3 linked regions of the Stegostoma tigrinum genome follow. The protein of the gene in region 3 binds, or shares a complex with, the protein of the main gene of each other region. Links are inferred from orthologs where the notes say so. Each region holds a gene or a part of one and is shown on either strand. Other genes may lie near its edges.

Region 1 (7,242 bases), on a different chromosome or scaffold from region 3:
GACATTCGAATAATAACATGAAAAGGAAAGGTTCGGAGGGATGTGGGCCAGGTGGGACTAGTTTAGTTTGGGATTATGTTCAGCAAGGACTGGTTGGACCAAAGAGACGGTTTCTGTGTTTTATGACTCTATGATGCACTCATAAGCTTCTTAAACTGAGAACTAACTTTCCATCCATGTGTCAACTTGGCAATATTTCACTCCAGATTTGCAAGTTGTCAATAGTACCTAATTAAATCTGTTAAGGCTCAGGTAATGGTTCCCAGAACAAATTTGTTCGAGATCACTAAGGAGTTAGGATGTGCTACATTGTAAATGTCACAGACATAAATGTGTTTATTTACCTTTGTTTGCAAATTAAATATTAGGAGGGACTGTTGTGAATGTTGTTCCGCTAAAGCTATCCTCTGATTCAATGATGTCGATTACTCTTGTTATTGACCTGGGCACCCAACTTTCACAGCACTTGGTTCCCACTGCCCTATATTATACTTGCAACGGTGTAAGTTCTGTATTTGAAGCATATGGACATATTCAATCTCTCTGATGATTGACCCATTAATTGTCAAGGAGGTAAATTTTCATTCAAATTATTGACTGATTTATTCCAAAGAAAGATAAAATGTACAATAAACAAATCTGTTCAGAGTCACTTAATTTATCAGGCAAAACTTATGGTCACAAATGTGACAACAATGAAGAACACAGGTCACTTGGAATCGATTAGAACATAGAATGTAGAACAATACAGCACAGTACAGGCCCTTGGGCCTACGATGTTGCGCCAACCTGTTATCCTACTGTAAGATCAAAACTAACCTGCATAACCTTCATTTAACTATCATCCTTGTGCCTATCCAAGAGTCGCTTGAATGATCCTAAGGTATCTGACTGCACTACCACCGTTGGCAGCACATTCCACTCACCCACCACTCTCTGTGTGAAGAAACTACCTCTGACATCTCCACGACACCTTCCTCCAATCACTGTAAAATTATGCCCCTCCTAATAGTAATTTCCACCTTGGGAAAAAGTCTCCGGCTATCCACACTATCTATGCCTCTCATCATCTTGTACACCTCTGTCAAGTCACCTCTCATCCTTCTTCGCTCCAATGAAAAATGCCCTACTTCCTTCAATCTTTCCTTATAAGACCTGCTCTCACGTCCAAGCAGCATCCTGGTAAATCTCCCCTGCACCCTCTCTAAAGCTTTCTCATTCTTCCTATAATGAGGCGACCAGAACTGAATGGAATATTCCAAGTGTGGTCTAACCAGGGTTTTATAGAGCTGCAGCATAGCCCCGCGGCTCTTAAACTCAATTCCCCAGCCAATGAAAGCTAACACACCATACACATTCTTTACAACCCTATCAACTTGGGTGGCAACTTTGACGGATCTACGGACGTGAACCCTAAGATCCCTCTGTTCATCCACACTACCAAGAATCCTGCCATTAACCCCGTAAGAGGATTGTGTCCTCTTATTTAACTTAATAAGAATAAGTCTGCCTGTTTTGTTTCTTTGTGGTCTTGGAATAATCCCATCTTTGCTTCCCTTTAGGATCCTGGCTGCTCCAACATTTTCTCAGCATATCCTTGACAGACTGCCTTTTTGGTGTTTGGGTTCGGAGTTTTAGTACTCTCTTTCACAGATCTATCAAGACCAAAAGGGAATTTTCATATGTGATGATGTGAGATGTATTTTGAGTGCCAGATATGCTAAAGAATCTCCCTAAGAGAGAATTCAGAGAAATGACTTGTCATTTTGTGTATTAATTTACTTTTGCCTGACCAAGGATCAATAACTTCCTGTAATCATGACCTGAGAAACTAGTCTTTTTGAGATATACCTTTGCTCCAAATATGTTTTAAAGGTTTTCTCTGCCTAGGCAATAGATCAATATATAACAATGATGACCGACCCATGAGGTTAACAAGTAAGAAAATAAAATACGACTTCTAAAAAACTTGTCATGTTCCTCAAAGCAACTTTTTGAAATATATTCATCTATCTGATCTCCTAGTTTTCTTTATTCACTTATTGGGCATGGGTGACACCGGCTGGACTGGCATTTATTGCCCCTCCCTAGTTGCTCTTCAGAAGATAATAGTGAGCTGCCCTCAAGTTAGTGTAGTTACACGCACAATGCCCTTAAGGAGGGAATTGCAGGATTTTGACTCAGTGACGCTGAAGGAATAGTGATACATTTCCATGTTATGATGGTGAGTGGCTTGTAGGGAAACTTGCAGTGTCCCCATATATCTGCTGCCTTTTACTTTCTGAGTGGAAGTGATCGTAGGTTTGGAGGGTGCTGTCTAAGCAGCTTTGGTGAATTTCTGCAACGCTGCTCATAGATAGCACCCAATGAGGCTGCTGTGCATCAGTAGTGGAGGAAGTGGGTTTTGATGGATGTGGGACCAGTTAAGCAGCCTGCTTAGTCCTGAATAGTGTTAAGTATCTTGAGTATGTGAGAGCTGCACTAAGCAAGTAGGGAGTATTTCATCAGAGTCCTGACTTGTGGTTTGTGCATGCTGGACAGGCTTTGGGGTACTTTGGGAATTACAGAAAAATTTCTTCCCTCTGACTTGCTCTTCTTACTGATAGTGGGCTTAGAATGCTACCCTGTAGAACTCCCGCATGGATATCCTGGAGTTGAGATGATTGATCTCCATCAATCACAACCTACTTCCTTTGGCTAGGACTGACTCCAACTAGCAGAGTTTTCTTCTTGATTCCCATTGATGCTAGTTTTGCTAGAATTCCTAGATGTCACACTTGATTAAATGAGGCCTTGCTACCACCCTTATTGCTTGCTCCGGGTGCTGAGGGGATGATGGTATGCTGTAAAGAGCAGGAGAATGTTTTTATACATGTTTGACCTGATGCCGTGGCACCTCATGACAAACAGAATCAACGTTGAAGACTCGCACGGCATGTCCCTCCTAACTGTATACTACTGTATTGTCATATCCACTAGATCTGTCCTGCCAGTGGATCATTGTCTGTGAAGTATCATTCTGTGTGTATGATTATGTCAAGTAGTTGCTTAATGAATCTATAAAACAGCTCTCTTAATTTTGGCTTGAAAGCCCAGATGTTAGTAAGTCAGAGTTAGCTTATAGAGTTGACAGGGTTGTGTTTGCTATTGTCCTTTCCTTGGTCAATGCCAAGTGGGTGTGACCTGTTTCACTGTTTTATTACTTTCTTGTAATTGATACATCTGAATGGCTTGCTAGGCCATTTCAGATGATGGTTAAGAGTCAAGCACATTATTGTTGGTCTGGAGCCAGGCCAGGCGAGAACAATAGTTCCGTTCCTATAGGACACTAGTGAACGAGATGGGTTTTCTCAACAACTGACATTGGTTTCTGGGTCATCATTAGGCTTTTAATTCCAGATTTTTATCAAATTGGAATTCCACCATTTGCTGTGGTGGAATTCAAACTCAGAACATTACCAGGGTCTTTGGCTTACTGGTCCAGTGGCAATATCTCGAGACCATCGCCTCGTCTCAAAGTAAGGACTGAAGTATGAAGGAATGAACAGAAGAATACTTTTCTCAGGGCTGTTTCCAGGACAATTCATTCTTGCCAGTAGAGAACTATTCACAAAATTGCCTGCAGAGATGAGAAACATCAGTAACATCAGTAGATTAGACAAAGTGGAATTGTACCTTTTGGAGGAGATTGAAGTGTGATTTAACAGAATTGTTGAAAATCATGAGGTGTTTGAACAGAATAGGTAGAGAGTGAACATTAATGGGAGCATTATAGACTACAGAACACAAACTTTCGATAACTGGTAAAGGAAGCATTCAGGGGAAATGTTTTAATTCAGTTATTAGGGTCTAGAATACACTGGCTGAGACTGTGGTGGAGACAGAATCAAAGGGAATTTTATCTTCATTTTGTTAAAAGGAAAAGTAGAGGGTTAGCAGCACCTGGTGAACTACAGATGGCTCGCTAAGTAACAAAAAAAACACACTGAATGGCCTCCTTCAGCAGTGGAATCATTCCAGGTGGACAGAGAGTACGATTTTAACTCTCGACATGGATGATTTTTAAATCTATTGAGAATTCTGACAGTAAATGTGATAACCACAGTTGCATAAACTTGACCACCTACAGCTCATTCCTCTCCTACTTCCCGTACCAGTTCTGACTGGAAACCAGCACCACCTGGTGGCCGGTGAACCACTTTACGACAGCTCGGCGCCGCTTTACGGCGGCAGCAGCAGCATGGCGAGTTCTGGGCCGGAGGGCCGTGTGGTCTCAGGGGGAGGACAGCAGCTCTCTTTCAGCCAGGCCTGCTCCCTCATCAAGAGCCCGTACTCGTGCCTGGTGCTGGACACCTTCCGAAGGCACATCACCCTGTCTCCAGTCTTCCTTAAGCGGCAGAGATCCGGCATCGAGAAGCAGCTCCGGACAGAGCTACTCCGTTTCTCCGAGAGGTGAGGGGCGCGGAAACAGGCCCTTCGGCCCAGCCCGGCCGTGCCGACCCGCTTTCCCTCAACTAAACCTCCCTGCGTTTGGCCCGTTATCACTCTTAAACTTTCCCTTTTCACGCGTCTGATGTGAGGGTGGGTGCGGGGTGAGACGAGTTGGGTGAGGAGGATGTAGGAGAGGGGCAAGAGGTGGAGGAGAAGAGAGAGGGAGCACTGGGGATTTGGAAAGATTACAGAAGACGGGGGAAGACCGGAGAGGCTGAATGAGAGGGCATCAGTTTCAGAGGGTGGAGGAGGGAACTCACTTAAAAACAAAGGTTTAAACTCCAAACTCATTAGCCCATGGATTTAAAATACAGAATCAATTCTGTATTCCTATTACTCTTACAAACACATTTGAAATCCGGCTTGACCTCTGTAGACCAGAACTCCATGGATCAGCACTCCGAAGCCAGCAAAGGACCCGGTCAGATGATCCAGATTCTCTATCACTCTACCAACTCAATGTCAGAACTGGTTCGCCTTACTTCGCTTCCTTACCCCTCTTCTCTCACCCATCCCAACTGAACTTCCCAAAGCCGTAGCCCAGTTTTTGCTCACCCCAATCTCAACTCTCCCCTTCTGGCAACCTTCTCTTAAACCGAACCCCATCTCTACCCCTATTTTTGCCACTCCCTCCTCCAGTTCTCCTTGCAGAAATTATATTTGCTCAGTTACCTGTTCACCTATATGTAAGTTGATTTATGTGCATGGACACCTGATAGACCCTTTGTGTTGCAGCATTCTGCTCTTTCTTTCCATTTAAGTAGCATTTTTGTCAATGCCAAGGGCAATGAACTTAAATTCCAAAGTATTCTCTTCTATAATTTTGTTAAATTCTGTTTCCTTTTAAAAATGGATAATGTTGCCGCACTTATAAAATAGCTGAGGCTGATCAAATGACTTTCAATAAGTTTCTGAAATACCTACGTTGTATCGTATTTCCACCTAAAACTGACGCACAGTTGCTGGTCACGAGCTGATTTTGTCAAGCCAGCTGTGGACAAAAGAAGTGTCTGTCCTTGTCATGTGGCTGAAATTTGAACTAGCTAACTTGCTTAAATATATAATTCTGGGATTCTAAGTCAGTTGCATGTTGACCTTAAAGGGAGAGCAGAACTTGCAAGTTAAGTTGGCAGCTTGCATCGGATAATCATTAGCTGGAAAAATGCCGAGTCTTTGTCTGGCAGAAGGGAAGATGCTGTTGTTGAAAAACTGTTCACCCTCTCACTTGCCCTCTTTGAGACACTGAACTGCTCAACAGCCAGTGTCGCTCTGCCTGGGCTCTCTGTCCCAGGCTTCCCTAGCTGTGTAAACATTCAGCTTTAGTAGGACCATCACTGCAAGAGTAACCATAGATGTTAATGCAAATAGAACCTACGAATGTTACCCGTGCGTGTGCAGATGCACTCAAGCTTAAAAATCTGTCACCACGTCTAATGGTGCAGATGGAAGTTTTGATGGTCATCTTTGTGTTTGTGTCAATTATTCCATTTGTTGTAGTAACACTGATTTTTATTGTCATATGTACAGAAATATAATGAAAGGCTTTGCTTACCATGACCTGCCCGTCACGCTCGTAAGCAAAGGATGTACAGATCAAAACAACTTAGAGGCATACAGGTTACATTGCAAGCATCATTATTTGAGGCTAGAGTCCATTCAACAGTCTGATAATAGCAGGACAGAAGCTGCTTGTGCGTGTATTCAGGTTTCTGTATCTTCTGCCTGACAGAAGAGGTTGTAGGGGATCATTACCAGGGTGCGATGGGTCTTTGATAATATTGGTCACCCTTCTGCAGCTGTGAGCTGTGTAATTAAAGTCCATGGACGGAAGATTGGCTTCTGTGATGGTCTGGGCCATACATACAACCTTTTGTAGTTTTTTACAGTCCTGGGCAGAGCAGTTGCCATACCAGGCCGTTATGCACCTGGACAGGATGCTTTCTATGGTGCATCTGTAGAATTTAGTGAGGGTATCTAAGGACATGCTAAATTTCCTGAACTGTCTGAAGAAAAAGAGGCATTGTTGTGCCGCCTTGACTGTGGCATTTACATGTTAAGTCCAGGACAGGTTATTGTCACTCCAAGGAACTTGATGCTCTTCACTCTCCACCTCAGTTCCATTGATGTAGATGAAGGTGTGTTCTCCTTTCTTTTTGAAGTAGATGGTCAGTTCTTTAGTTATTGAATGTTAAAAGGAGGTGGTTGGACACTGTCTCGTTGGAGACTTTGGCACTTGTTGCTTATCAGCTTGAACCTGTGGAGTCCAGGTTTAACTGCATGTGAGTATAAACTCATTAGCTGAGGAATAGCAAATAAAACTGAACTTTGAGTAATCATCAGAGATTGTCCTCTCTTCTAATCATAACATTAAGGAAAGGTTATTCGTAAAACAGCTAAAGAACTTGGTCTACTGCTCTGTTGAGTTGGCTTTCAGCATCTACGATTTCCTTCCTTTTGTACTAGACTTCCAACAAATGGACAGTTTTCTCCAATTCCTATTGATGAAATTTTACTTGGGCTACTTGATGCCATGTGTCGTCAAACAGTAACTTGATAAGAAGGATATTGTTTCCTTTACCATCTTACTGTTTATCCATGTTTGGATCAACGCTGAATTGAGCTGAAGAGCCTAATGATCTCGGTGGAACCCAAATTGAGTAGATTATTGTTGACTGTGTACAATGATAGCACAGTCAATATCAGCTTCCATCACATTATGATTGAAAGTAGTTTTATGGACTGCTGATTGGC
Region 2 (7,029 bases), about 96 Mb from region 3:
TATTACATTGTTGTTTGTGGGCTTCTGCTGTGCAAGTTGGCTGCTGCTTTTCCTACATTACAATGATCACACCAGTACTTCATTAGACATAAAGCGCACAGAGACATCCAGTGACTGTGAAAACTGTTGGAATATTGTTGCAAGACATCTTCATCCAGTGTATTCTGCAAAACTAGTAATGTTTGGTGGATGAAGTAATGCCTGCACTAAATGTATGATTCTTGAATGTGAATGCAAGATGATACTCCCTTCCCACACCCCAGAGCAACTGTCAAGTACAGCACCAGCTCAACTCATGTGGTGATCGGCAAATGCACGCAAGCCAAATATGTGACCTGTAACCTTTGACAATGGCAACTTTTGCTGAGACTGTTCTTATCCTTTACAATGCAACTATATCTTGGTGATTACAGTGAACAAAATTAAACACAGTATGAGGTTTTATCAATGCACTCTAAGACATCAGGTTGGCCTGTGTAGACTTGTATTCTAGTGTCTGATTATAAATTTCATTTCCTACCAATATTATAAAATGATTCAATGCGCTACCTGGAAATTGAAAGTGACATGACAGCTATTTAAAAACCCAAAGAACTGTGGATGCTGTAAATCAGGAACAGAAACAGAAGTTACTGGAAAAGCTCAGCAGGTCTGGCAGCATCTGTGAAGAAAAAAAATCAGAACTGACGTTTCGGGTCTGGTGACCCTTCCTCAGGGAGCAGCCAGCAGACCTCAAACATTTACTCTAATTTCTTTTTTTCACAGATGCTGCCAGACCTGCTGAGCTTTTCCAGTAACTTCTGTTTTTGTTGTGTCAGCTATTTAAACTTTTTGAATGGTTATAGTCAAGTTATATCGTGTGAGCTTATTCACCTGTGAAGAGCTTAATGGAGATTTCCCGACGTTCTCTTCAAAGACAATGTTGATTCAGTGCGATTACAAGATGAAACAGGTAACTTTCCCGAACACCTGTCCAGTAATGAATCCCTATCTTACCAGGTTAGAAATTAAATTGCCGGGTCAAATATCCAACAAAGATTTCCTACAGAACTTCATATTTTGAAAATTTACTACGACAAGAAAGGATGAAAGTTACTATTGACTGTGCTTTAATCACACTTTCAAGCAGTGCATTCCAAATCATAACAGTTTGCTGTGTAAATAATGTTTCTCTATTTCACCTCTGGTTCTTTTGCCATATTCACTGGTCACATTTGTTTTACTAATAGAACCACAAAGTGTCAGAGCAAAAGTAGGCTATTCAGCCCATCAAGTCTGCTCCACCATTTAATGAAACCATGTCCGATCTAATAATCCTCAACTCCACTTTCCTGCCTTTTCTCCATAATCTAGATTCTCTTACTGATCAAAATTGATCCATCCCAGATTTAAATATACTTAACAGCCCAGTTTCTTCAGCCCTCTGTGGTAAAGAATTCAACAGATGACAGCCCTCAAAGAAGAAATTCCTCCTCATCTTAATTTAGCGTATTAAATGAGTGACGCCTTATTCTGAGATTTTGACCTCTGGTTGTAGACTTTCCCCAGAAGGGAAAACATGCTTTCTTCAACTACCTTGTGAAGTCCCCGAAAAATCTTTCTTCAGACTATCCCTAAAAGTCTTGTATATTTCAATATGGTCATCTCTCATTCTTAACTCCAATGAGTACATGTCCAACCTACTCAACCTCACCTCCTAAAACAGTCCCTTCATACATGGGATCAGCCTAGTGCACCTTCTCTGGAGTGACTCTCACACAAATATAGCTTAGATAAGGTGGCCAAAAGTGTTCACAGTTTTCTGGGTACGGTCTCTGTTACCCTTGTCTGGCCCTCCCCACCGCTGCACCTTGTATGTTCCCCATGTCACTAGCCTCACCCAATCCCCCATTTACCTGCCCCTCTCCACTCCCTCTCTCCTGCACCAGCTCCCACACTCTCACACCCATACCTCCCCTAGACGCTCAGCCGTACCATTCCCACTCGTCCCTCTACACACCTTGCCCACATGTGTGACTACACACACACACACCTCTGCTCTCTCTCCTGCTTTCCCCTTTACCCACACCATCTCCTCCACCCTCTTCAACGTGATCTTGGTATTCACAATAAACATTGTCACTGTTCTTTGTCTCTTAATTTTACTGACGAAAATTTTACCAATATATTTCAAAACTATTGTAGTTTCATCTAGATACCTTTACAAATTCTCTATCAAGGTTGCCTGTAAATTGTACGTGTAATTATACCACAAGTTATTGTCTTCAGTAACTTGATCAGTCCTTAAATGAGGGAACATAAAATATAATCTTAATGAAATAGTACTCACCTCAATAACATTGTGGCAGGACTTGCAGAAGAATTTGCCTTCATCTGAAATTGCCCAGTTAATCACAGCACATCGTTCACATGCCTCTCTGAAATCTCTCTGAAAAGACAAATGTAGATTTCAACAAATCCTTTCCTAAAGAAACTGATGCATGAATGAGATGATACAATGTCATTTTGGCAAGGGGATAAAGAAACCAAAATGAAGGAATCGTAACTTTTATTCCACACCTCACATACAGATTAAAATGTAATTTCACAGTGATAGCAGTAATTACAATCAAAATGCCAGGAATGTTTGTGTACATGACAAGCTCCCAATATGGGAATGCCTTCATTTGCTAAACCAAACAAGTTTAGCCTAGTCATGTCCAGCTTGTACAAAATGCCCATGGCATGGACACTCTGAGGAGTAGGACTTCTTTAACACAGATGGCTGTGGAGGCTGAGCCATTAAGCACATGTTCAGGGGCTGAGATAGACAGATTTCTCATCAGTAAGGGAATATAAGCTCAGAAAACAGGAAGGTAGGCCAATCAGTGTTTCAAGCCTGCTCTGTTCATTCAACATTATCATGGTTGATCACTCACCTCACTACACTGTGTCTGCTTTCTCCCCTTACTGTTTGATCCCTTTAGCCATAACAACTTTCTCCAATTCCTTTTTGAAAACATGCAACATTTTGGCCTCAATCAAAAGTTATGAGTAAAAGCCAGGAAGTTCAGGATTATCAAATCAGTCATGATTTCACTAAAAGTGGAACAGACCTGTTGGACTGAATGGTCTATTACTACTAGATATTATGCCTTACTGTAATCGCAGTTAGATTACCACCTCAATTCCATTTTTGCTGTTAGGACTGAAGTCCGCTATTTCAGCTGAGAATTCTGATCCCACCTCATCCTGAAATAGGAGATCTAACACTTCCGCAGGATAGTCAATTGGAGGGGATGGGGCAAAAGGGAGAAGAATTCAGAGTCCCCTTTTGCAGCAAGCAGCGTGCAGTATTCAGAGATTTAAAGGCAGACGGTTACTTTGACATGTGCAGCGCAAGTGCAAGTATGTCGGTGAGTATGGGAATGGCGTGGCAGTTGGCCAGTTTCCTAGATAAATGATGGAGTGGGTTAGGGTAGATGGTGGGGAAATGTCGAGGTATACACAGAGGATGGGGAATATGGAGGACGGCAAGAAGGTAGGGGCTGGCAAGGGCGAGGGAGTGTAAAAGCCAACTGTTTAGCTTGGCGAGGATGTCATATCTCCGAGGGATTAAGTCGGGGAAGACTGTCAGACCCACCATGACGCTCAGGCCAGTAAAGGGGGTGTGGAGGGGGGACTGAGAGAGCTTCAGGCCGAGACGGTCCACCCAAACCAATGAGTCATTTATATTAACAGAAGTGTGGCGACAGATCACCTCCTTGCTGACAGATTTAAAGTTCTACAGTAACACCGTTCAAATGAGGGTGAGGCCCTTAGCGGCATCACAGGTGAAGGGCGGCCTGCTCCACGCCCTCTGCCCGCTCCACTCACCGTGTCCTCCTCATCCATTTCCCCAAACCCCGAGCACTCCTCCCACCCCCCAAAGCAGTTCCAACCGGACCACCTCCCCCCCCCCCACAGCGCACTTCCGGTCCGCCGCTCTAACCTGTCCGTATCCGGCGGAACGTGACCGCCTGCTCCTTGAAGTTCACCGAATAGGCAGGAAACCCTGCGCGAAGTTTAATACATTTCACTTTTAATGCATCAACACACGCGCTCTGTCCGTGAATGGGTTTGTGCCTTTTAAGAGGCTGTGTCGGACACGTAAATATGACCCAGTTTATTTTTAAACTTAACTTTTCAGTCAGCAGTTTGAATATTTGGCCTGTGGAAGGTTTTAATTTCGTCGAAATGGAACGACGCAAGATTGGGTAGGGTTCGTTGGAAACTGAAACCTAGTGCGTGAATAATCATTAGATGAAAATCAATCAGGGAAAAGAGGCGTGGAAGGACAGTAATCGTGTGATTCAATGTCTAGACAACAAGGAGGTGATTTAAAACTCGGAGAATGGCACCGTCTGAAGTCTCTGCCGAAGTACAATGGTGGTGCGTTCAGTGTCAGACCCTCTCGTTGCCTCAAATGTACGTAGTGTCCTGCATAAATAAGAAATGTCTTTGGTTTTTGCAACCGCAGGGAATGTCAGATTACAGCTTTTCTTGACGTGCGAACACTGTACAGAACTGCTTTAGTATCTGTGTACGTACTTTTTTTTTAAATGAGTAAGATATTTTCACAATAAAAAAAATACTCCGAAGAACAATGCGCAATGCAAAGTGAACACAATGAGGCCTCACAACTCACGGATCATACCACGTCGGAACAATGTAATCAATTCAACTCAGCACGTTTTCCAGCAAAATTTGCATGGGGAGGGCGTGGGATGGCATAACAACTGATCAGATGTAAATAGAATGAAGTCAACCTTTAAACTGAAAAATGGGCTCAGATGTTTGTACAACATTTAATTGTTTGGACATGATAGACCTGGAATAGTGTTTAAAACAGCTTCATAACAGAAGTGAAAAAAATTCAAAAACAAGTAGTGGAGTGTCCCTTATATAAAAGTCCGTTATGAAGTTACGTGCACACCAGTGGTCCTCTAGTGAGGATACCTACATCTGTTTTTAAAAAACTTACTGCACCAGGTCAATCCAACCTCCACCCCTAACTTATACTATCATCCATATGGCTATCTAATAGCTGCTTAAATGTCCCGAATGTGGCTGAATCCACTACCCTCTCTGGCAATGCATTCCACGCCCTGTCCACTCTCTGAGTAAAGAACCCACCTCTGACGTCTCCTCTATATCTATATCCACTCACTTTAAAATTATGCCCCCTCGTAATAGCTATCTCCACCCCTGGAAAAAGTCTCTGGCTGTCCACTCTATCTGTACCTCTGATCATTTTGTACACCTCCATCAAGTCACCTCTCATCCTTCTAAAGAGAAAAGCCCTAGCTCTCTCAACCTTTCCTCGTAAGACCTTCCTTCTATTCCAGGCAACAGCCTGGTAAATCTCCTCTGCACCTTTTCCAACACTTCCGCATCTTTCCTGTGATGAGGCGACCAGGACTGGACACAATACTCCAGATGTGGCCGAACCAGGGTTTTGTATAGCTGGAGCATAACTTCATGGTTCTTGAACTCAATCCCTCTATTAATGAAAACTAACACACCATACACCTCCTTAACAACTCTACCCATTTTTCAGGGAACTGTGGACATGAACCACAAGATCCCTGTGCTCCTCCACACTACCAAGAATCTTTCAGTTAACCCTGTATTCCACTTTCAAATTTGTCCTTCCAAAATGAATCACATTACACTTTTCAGGGTTAAACTCCACCTGCCATTTCTCAGCAGAACTCTGCATCCTACCAATATCCCTTTGTAACCTAGAACAGCCTTCCACACTATCCACAACTCCACCCCACCTTCGTATCGTCCGCGAACTGACTAATCCACCCTTCCACTCAGTCATCCAAATTATTTATAAAAATCAGAAATAGATGAGGACTGAGAACAGATCCTTGTGGTACACCACTCATAACTGAGCACCATGTTGAATAATTTCCATCCTCTACCACCCTTTGCCTTTTAAGGGTCAGCCAATTCCGAATCCAATCTGTCACATTTCCCCCATCCCATGCCTCCTTACTTTTTGCATGAGCCTACCATGGGGAACCTTATGAAATGCCTTACTTAAATCCATGTATACCACATCCACATGTTTGGTCACCTCTGCAAAGAATTCAATAAGGTTTGTGAGGCATGATCCACCCCTCACAAATATTCTTATTTCTACAACAATTTTGATTAGATCAACACTCTTTTTCTGCCTAGTTGCTGCCTGAGTTGCTGAACTTTTCGAGCATATTTTGATCTTATTTCAAATTTCCAGCATTAATAGTATTTTGATTTTGTATTTCTGTTTGTAATGTTACAGTAAAGTCAGAATAAAACTTGAGTCCATCTGTATCCCATTATTACTTTTTATTCACTTTATCTCTCATTTATAAAAAGCTTACAATTTTCTGGTGCCATTCACAGTTTAGTGTTGAGGGAACATTGTTAACCTGTACAATTTAGTCCCATTTTCCTTCAGTTTTGCACATGTTCTCTCAGTGAAAAGGAAGAGAGCATTGTTCAGATATGGCTGAAACTGCCTTAAGATAATATTGTTATATGTTTTGAGAGTGTGTTCTTTTGTTTGTCTGAGCATTGGATGTTCATGTCTGCACTCTTTCAGGATGCTGTTTTTATAAGGTTGCTATTATTCTTAGTGCCTTTGATCCCCAGTTCATTCTTATCCTGGCGTAAACTTTGTTAGCCTCTTCAGAATTGTATCTTGATTAGTATCCATTCACCACCTTCAACATTCACTCCCTTCACCACAATGGCAGCAGTGGGTATCATCTATGAGATACAATTGCATAACTCACCAAGACTTACCAACCTGTGACCCCTGTGATCGAGAAGGACAAGAGCTTGGTTGGGAACACCATCACCTGCAAGTTTCCCTCTAAGCTATGCGTTATTCTGACTTCAAAGTTGCTGAATCAAAATCTTGGAACTCCTTTCCAAATAGTACTGTGTTAAATTCTCTGTTAAAACCCTTTTCCTTATGTTGGTAGTCCAGAATTTCTGTTGCCCGTCTTTGAT
Region 3 (6,922 bases):
GGGACAGCGCTCATAAGTATGAGCGTGTGTTCATAAATTGGGGATCCCTTGTACTTACAGTAAATGTTCCATGTTAGCATATAGCCTAATGATAAGATATTTCAAATTGAAAATGATGGAAAGTGCAATTGAAATAAATTATTCACTATACACCAATTTCTACGAGTTTCTGGATGTGAGTTTGCTCGCTGAGCTGGAAGGTTAGTTTTCAGACGTTTCATCACCATTCTAGGTAACAGATGTTACCTAGAATGGTGACGAAACGTCTGAAAACTAACCTTCCAGCTTGGGGAGCAAACTCACATCCAGAAACTCAACTTGAGCTACAAATCTTCTCCAAACTCGCTACCTTCTACTGAGTTATCTGAGACTGCATACTTATTCATAAAGTTTGTTTTTAAATAACTATAAATTATATCCACTTGACCATTACAGAATTTGCAACAAAATTCAACTTGTCTCTATTATAACATCTTCCAGTCGATACTGATCCATGAGGCAGGTGCATGCTGAGTTCCACCTTCACTTTTATGCTGAGTCAGCCAACTCTGAGCAGATCCATGTTAGAACTTCCCTGATATGTAAACTGTGTCAATTGAGACTGTGTTCTTGTGATAAATATGGCCTTGATCTATACCCATGTGGACATTGTTCTGACTCTGCAATTGAATGGAGCAAATTTTCCCATTTTCCCACCTGAGGCTTTAGCCACACAATGTCTGATGTCTGGAATTCCCTCTAAATTGCTCCACCATCTTTAAGATGGCCCTTTTGACCTACCTTTTGGTCACATGTTCAGGTATCACCTTATGTAGTTCAGTATCAAATTTTCTTTAATGAAATTTCTGTGAAGTGCCTTGGGATATTTATTACATTCATGTTAGCACCTTTAATGGATGTTATCAAGCCCAAATTAAACAATACTGAATTAATGCAATACAACCATTTACAGAAACGATCATGAACAGCCGTAGTGAAGAGAGGAACATCTCCCACCTGGTGCAGATAATTGAATATTTACAAGTTTTACTTCTACAAATATTGTGTAGAAATTCATCACAGACCAAGTACCAAATGATAAAGGAAGATAAAAAGATAACATCTGGTGTAGAAAATCTGTCCGTCAAATGCTATGGTATTGGAGGATCCAGAGTAATGAATAGTGTCGATCTTTATATGAGTCTAAAATAAAACAAATCACCACGGGGAGCACAAGTAATCAGGAGGGGTCGGAACATCAAGTTTTATTAGATACAGGCTGTTGAATATTGGTGTCCCTTTAAAACTAAATTTTCCTAGTATTTGCTGTATATAGCACAGGGTTTCATTTAAAAGCTAGGACACCTGTACCTTCAATTTCAAAGTTCTCATATGAAATTAAAATGAAAAATTACAAAAAAGGACATAATGCCATGAATTAGCATCAACAAGTATCTGGTACCAAACAAACCCTGTTGGTGGAAAAGCTCGGCAGATCTGGCAGAAACTGTGGAGAGAAGTCTGAGTTAACGATTTGGATTGAGTAACCCTTTCCACAGATTCTGCCAGATCTGCTGAGTTCTTCCAGCATTTTCTGTTTTTTTTTCTAATGTACAGCATCTGTAGTTCTTTAGGACCCTGCCAGTATATTGTTTTTGAAAATAAGTATTTATTCTCAGAAAGAATCGTAAACAAACCCTCAGGTTAAGGTGGGCAAGGGGACAATAGTCATGTAATGTCATGGATAGTTGTTCCATGGCCATTTGCTAAAAAGGTTCAGATTGATGGGCACATAGAAAATAATGTGTACCCTAACATGGTAATTCAGTTGGGTTGCTCTTATAAACCATGGCAACAAAATGGTAGATTGTGGAGAGCATTAGAACTTTGTTCTTGAATTAATATCTTTAAATTTAAGGCCTAGGCTATTGCTCTTTATAATCGGGAAAGATGTTCACATTTTGAACTTTATGACCTTTACAACAATGGAGAAAAATCTGGGATATATGTAATTGTATTTTAAATAACTGCACTGGTTTGCCTCTACTACATTGCTTGGTAGATTATTTTAAACATTTTTCATTGGGTAAGAATGGTTCTCCTGATACCTGTACCAAATTAACACTGATTTATAACTTATGTCCTTTACCTCCTTTTTTGGCATAATTTAGAGTCTTTTTAAGATAATATTTATTTTTTGTGATTTTTCAAAAAATTTCTTAAAGCACACAAGCTTTAAGCCTGATTAATGTTTCTTTGTCATTTCTCCCTTCTATGCTGAAAGTATCCTTTTCTAACGTGTAAAACTTTCTTAGTAACAGACAAAAGTGAACAGTTTTCCAAATGGATGAGGGATGCATGTGGATCAAATGCACCAATGTAACACAGATGATAAGATCGAAGGGTTTGTTGCATTGTATAGCCAACCTTGTACTATGATTTGTACTGTTAACAAATCTTATCAATAAAAGAAAGGACAGGGTGAAATTCATGATAACAAAGTGTGGAGCTGGATGAACGCAGCATCTTAGGAGCACATAAGCTGACGTTTCGGGCCTAGACTCTTCATCAGAAAAAAAACCATGGATTGGCAGCAACAATAGAAATTGCTGTCGAAACTCGGCATGTTTAGCAGCATCTGTGGGAGAAAGCAGAGTTAACATTTCAAAGCCATTGTCTCTTAATTGGAACTGCGCCAGATCTGCTGAGTTTTGCCAGCAATTTCTGTTTTTGTTTCCGATCTCCAGAATCTGCAGTTGTCTTTTTTTATTTTGTGGATTTACGGATTGAATTACATTCGTGAATGTAAAATGAGGGAGAGATTATGGTCTCCATAGGTTGACTCAATAAATACCATCAAAAAGTGCACAACATATGGAACTGTGTTTACAGATTATTTTTAATTTACACGACACCAGGCTATAGTCCAACGGGTTTATTTAATATCACAAGCTTTTGGAGCGCAGCCTCTTGCTCAGGTGAAGTGTGAGCAAAGAGCACACAGACCAATTTAGACAACAGAAATCAAGGGCAGAGAGTTAGAACTGGTGTGAGTCCAATGATAAGTCCCTGCAGGTATCCGAGAGTGATAGATGGTGTGAATAAAGAGTCGACAGCTGAATAACAAGTGAAGGGACGCCTATAATCCGATTATGAGGCAGAGAGATAATTACAAAACAACTAAACTAACTGGAAATAACAGGATAGGTATGGCAGTCACATGCTGAGGGTCTAAGCAAAATAATGAATATTTCCAATCTACAAACTAATTAAGGTAGAGATGGTGGCTCAGTGGTTAGCATTACAGCGTCAAAGTCATAGATTTGATTCTACCCTTGGATGACTGTGTGGGTTTCCTCTGGGCGCTCCAGCCTGCACCCACAGTCCGAAGATGTGTAGGTTTGGCCGTGCAAAAACTGCTCATAGTTTGCAGGGAAGTGCAGGCTCGGTGGGTCGGCGATGGGGAATGCGGGGTTACGGGGATTGGATGGGCCTGGGTGGGACGCTGTTCCTGGGGTCCGTGTGGACTCGATGGGCCGAATGGCCTGCTTCTACACTGTAGGGATTCTATGATCATAACACTTTATCAAGGTGATGCTGTCAACACAGGACAGTAAGGAAGCACTCCACATCATGTTTCTGTTCGACGATTACAACAACTACATTTATCTTTTGATTTCGGCGAAAACAACGCCTTTTAAATATAAAGGAAATGTCATTACCTTCCAATCAACTAATTTGTTTTGTACATATTGTTGGAATAATACTCATGCAAGTAAAAGCTATCTGTTTAAAATGAATGAACATGAATTGAGGCACAATCCAAATGTCTTGAGTTGGGAACTCAGCATTGCATCCCCCTCCCTCCTGCGCACGCTCGGCGATCCTGAAGCGGAACCTTTATCGTTTGCCGTTGTTGCCCCCCCGATCCTTCTATCTCGTTGGACAAATGGCGGACAAGTGGAGGCAGCTGTGTGGCGAAGAGCGGCTCCGGCCGAGCCTGAAGAACCTGACAGAGCCGGGGCTGAGGATGGGGCGAGTGGGCTTGGACCCGGACCCGGAGCAGCGGCAGCGGCGGAGGGCATTGCTGGAGTTGGTCGCGGCTCACGTGGACTCGTTCGACCAGGCGGTGAGCGAGGGGCTGGCTAGGGCCGTGCAGGTGAGTGCGAGCCCAGAGCACGTGGGGCATGGGTTCGTGTCGGGGCGGGGGGGGGCGGAAACGGAGGGCAACAATGGGGCACGGGCACTGGGGGGGGGGGCGGAAACGGAGGGCAACAATGGGGCACGGGCACGGGCACTGGGGGGGGGGCGGAAACGGAGGGCAACAATGGGGCACGGGCACTGGAGGGGGGGGCGGAAACGGAGGGCAACAATGGGGCACGGGCACTGGAGGGGGGGGCGCGGAAACGGAGGGCAACAATGGGGCACGGGCACTGGGGGGGGGGCGCGGAAACGGAGGGCAACAATGGGGCACGGGCCCTGGAGGGGGGGGGGGCGCGGAAACGGAGGGCAACAATGGGGCACGGGCCCTGGAGGGGGGGGGGGCGCGGAAACGGAGGGCAACAATGGGGCACGGGCCCTGGGGTGGGGGGCGGAAACGGAGGGCAACAATGGGGCACGGGCCCTGGAGGGGGGGGGGTGGAAACGGAGGGCAACAATGGGGCACGGGCCCTGGGGTGGGGGGCGGAAACGGAGGGCAACAATGGGGCACGGGCCCTGGGGTGGGGGGCGGAATCGGAGGGCAACAATGGGGCACGGGCCCTGGAGGGGGGGGCGGAAACGGAGGGCAACAATGGGGCACGGCCCTGGAGGGGGGGGGGCGCGGTAACGGAGGGCAACAATGGGACACGGGCCCTGGAGGGGGTTGGGGGGGGTCACGGGCGGCAACAATGGGGTACGGGCTGGAGGGGCCGGAGGGCAACAACGAGGCACGGACCATGGAGCGGGGGTGGGGGGCCGGAGGGCAAGAAGGCAAGAATGGGGCACGGGCTCGGGGCGGGGGACAACAACAATGGTGCATGGTCATGGGGGGGGGCAACAATGGGGCATGGGCCCTGAGGCATCAACATGTACAGGGGCAACAGCAGTGGCTATAGAGCAGGCATAACTGCATTGGGCCATGAGGCATGTAACGGAGCATAATAGCACAGGGTAGTTGGACCATAGAAGGATCAGCAACATGGACCTGGGAAACAGCAGCAGCTATAGAGGAGGCATAACTGCAGTGGGCCATGAGGCATGTAACGGAGCATAATAGCACAGGGTAGTTGGACCATAGAAGGATCAGCAACATGGACCTGGGAAACAGCAGCGGTTGGAGTATCAGTCTTAAGGATCTGGGCATTGGCAACATCGACCATGGTATGGGTGATGAGCAACAGCACCTTGCAAGGGATAATGGGAACTGCAGATGCTGGAGAATTCAAAATAAAGTGTGGAGCTGGATGAACACAACAGGCCAAGCAGCGTCTCAGGAGCAAGGCTCTTGATAGGCAGATGAGGAAAGGATGTTTTCTTTTATGGGAGAGTCTTGAATTAAGGGTTGCAGTCACCTATTTAAAACAATGATGAGATTATTTTTCTTCTCGGCTGTGCATTGGGAGCCTTAGAACTCTGTTTCTTTAAAAAAAAGTGGTGGTAGTGGAATTTTCAAGGAACCGTATGTACAATCATCTTGTGCTAGGTGATGAAAATCAGGGTTTGGTGGGAATGGGGATTTGGAGTTGTAATCAGGTGAGCTGTGATCTTACTAAATGGTGTTGTAGACTCAAGAGGCTGAATGGCCTACCCCTGATTCTAATATAGAGTCACAGAGATGTACTGCACAGAAACAGAAAGTGCTTTTAAATTTTTAAAAGACCTTGACTATTTACCCGATCCATGCTCCTCATGATTTTATAAACCTCTATAAGGTCACCCCTCGGCCTCTGACTGCAACAGGGAAAATAGCCCCAGCTATTCAGCCTCTCCCTATAAGCTTAAACCCTCCAATCCTGGCAGCATCCTTGTACATTTTCTGAAGAAGGGTCGAGGCCCGAAACGTCAGCCTTCCTGCTATGTTCATCCAGCTCTACACCTTGTTATCTCAGATTCTCCAGCATCTGCAGTTCCTACTACCTCTGAGATCAGAACTGCACACAGTATTCCAAATGTATGTTTATATGAAAGCAGCAACTGGACAGGGAGAATAGCTACATGAATCTGAGTAATGACATCAGAGGCATCAGAAACATGCTCCAAGGCAGCAGTAATATGGACCCTGAGCCACCACCCAGATGCCGGTGCTCTGAATTGCAAGAGCAAATGTCAGCCTGGGCCTTGGTAGCTCTTCAGTTGGTTGGGCTGGGCTTTATTCATCAGCCATTCCCACTAGTTTCCTTAATTACTGTAGAGATGTAGAACATAGAAGGGAACCACTTCTCCACTCAAGATTCTTTGAAGTGCAGTCAACATCCTTGCTGTTTTTACTCTTCAATTATTTATTGAATTTCTTCTTGAATGAGTCAAATCTCATCTTTATCTTCTTTGCTTCAAGAGGTCTCACACCTCCTCCAGTCTTTCTATGCAATTATAATCCCTCATTGTTGAACCTATTCTATTAATTTTTAAAATTCTGTCCAAAATCTTTGTAATCTTCCTTAATTGGACACAATGCTCCTGATTGGACAGCACTGGTATTTTATTTCGGTCAATTCTTGTATAATATCCTGGCATTTGTACCCGACAATAAAACCCAGAATCCCATATCCTTTCTTAACTGCTTTATTAGAGTCATAGAGATGTATACAGAATGGAAACTGACCCTTTGGTCCAACCTGTCCATGCTGACCAGATATCCAAAATAAATCTAGTCCCGTTGCCAGCATTTGGCCCATATCCCTCTAAACCTTTCTTATTCCTGTACCCATCCTTTTAAATGTTGTAATTGTACTAGCCTCCTTCA

The links. The genes of interacting proteins can lie anywhere in the genome.
Region 1: polr1b (region 3) and polr1f share a complex: the UniProt entries of both Homo sapiens proteins name them as parts of the RNA polymerase I (Pol I) complex. The link is inferred for Stegostoma tigrinum from reciprocal best matches to the Homo sapiens genes POLR1B and POLR1F.
Region 2: polr1b (region 3) and taf1b share a complex: the UniProt entries of both Homo sapiens proteins name them as parts of the pol I pre-initiation complex. The link is inferred for Stegostoma tigrinum from reciprocal best matches to the Homo sapiens genes POLR1B and TAF1B.

The regions. Positions count from the first base shown.
Region 1 is NC_081355.1:73,093,629-73,100,870, reverse strand, and holds the start of polr1f (DNA-directed RNA polymerase I subunit RPA43), read left to right. Parts: upstream 1-4,225; 5' UTR 4,226-4,240; coding exon 4,241-4,452; intron 4,453-7,242. UniProt on the Homo sapiens protein: Component of RNA polymerase I (Pol I), a DNA-dependent RNA polymerase which synthesizes ribosomal RNA precursors using the four ribonucleoside triphosphates as substrates.
Region 2 is NC_081357.1:115,511,597-115,518,625, reverse strand, and holds the start of taf1b (TATA box-binding protein-associated factor RNA polymerase I subunit B), read right to left. Parts: upstream 3,018-7,029; 5' UTR 3,003-3,017; coding exon 2,919-3,002; intron 2,429-2,918; coding exon 2,330-2,428; intron 1-2,329. UniProt on the Homo sapiens protein: Component of RNA polymerase I core factor complex that acts as a GTF2B/TFIIB-like factor and plays a key role in multiple steps during transcription initiation such as pre-initiation complex (PIC) assembly and postpolymerase recruitment events in polymerase I (Pol I) transcription.
Region 3 is NC_081357.1:19,879,691-19,886,612, reverse strand, and holds the start of polr1b (DNA-directed RNA polymerase I subunit RPA2), read left to right. Parts: upstream 1-3,915; 5' UTR 3,916-3,928; coding exon 3,929-4,138; intron 4,139-6,922. UniProt on the Homo sapiens protein: Catalytic core component of RNA polymerase I (Pol I), a DNA-dependent RNA polymerase which synthesizes ribosomal RNA precursors using the four ribonucleoside triphosphates as substrates.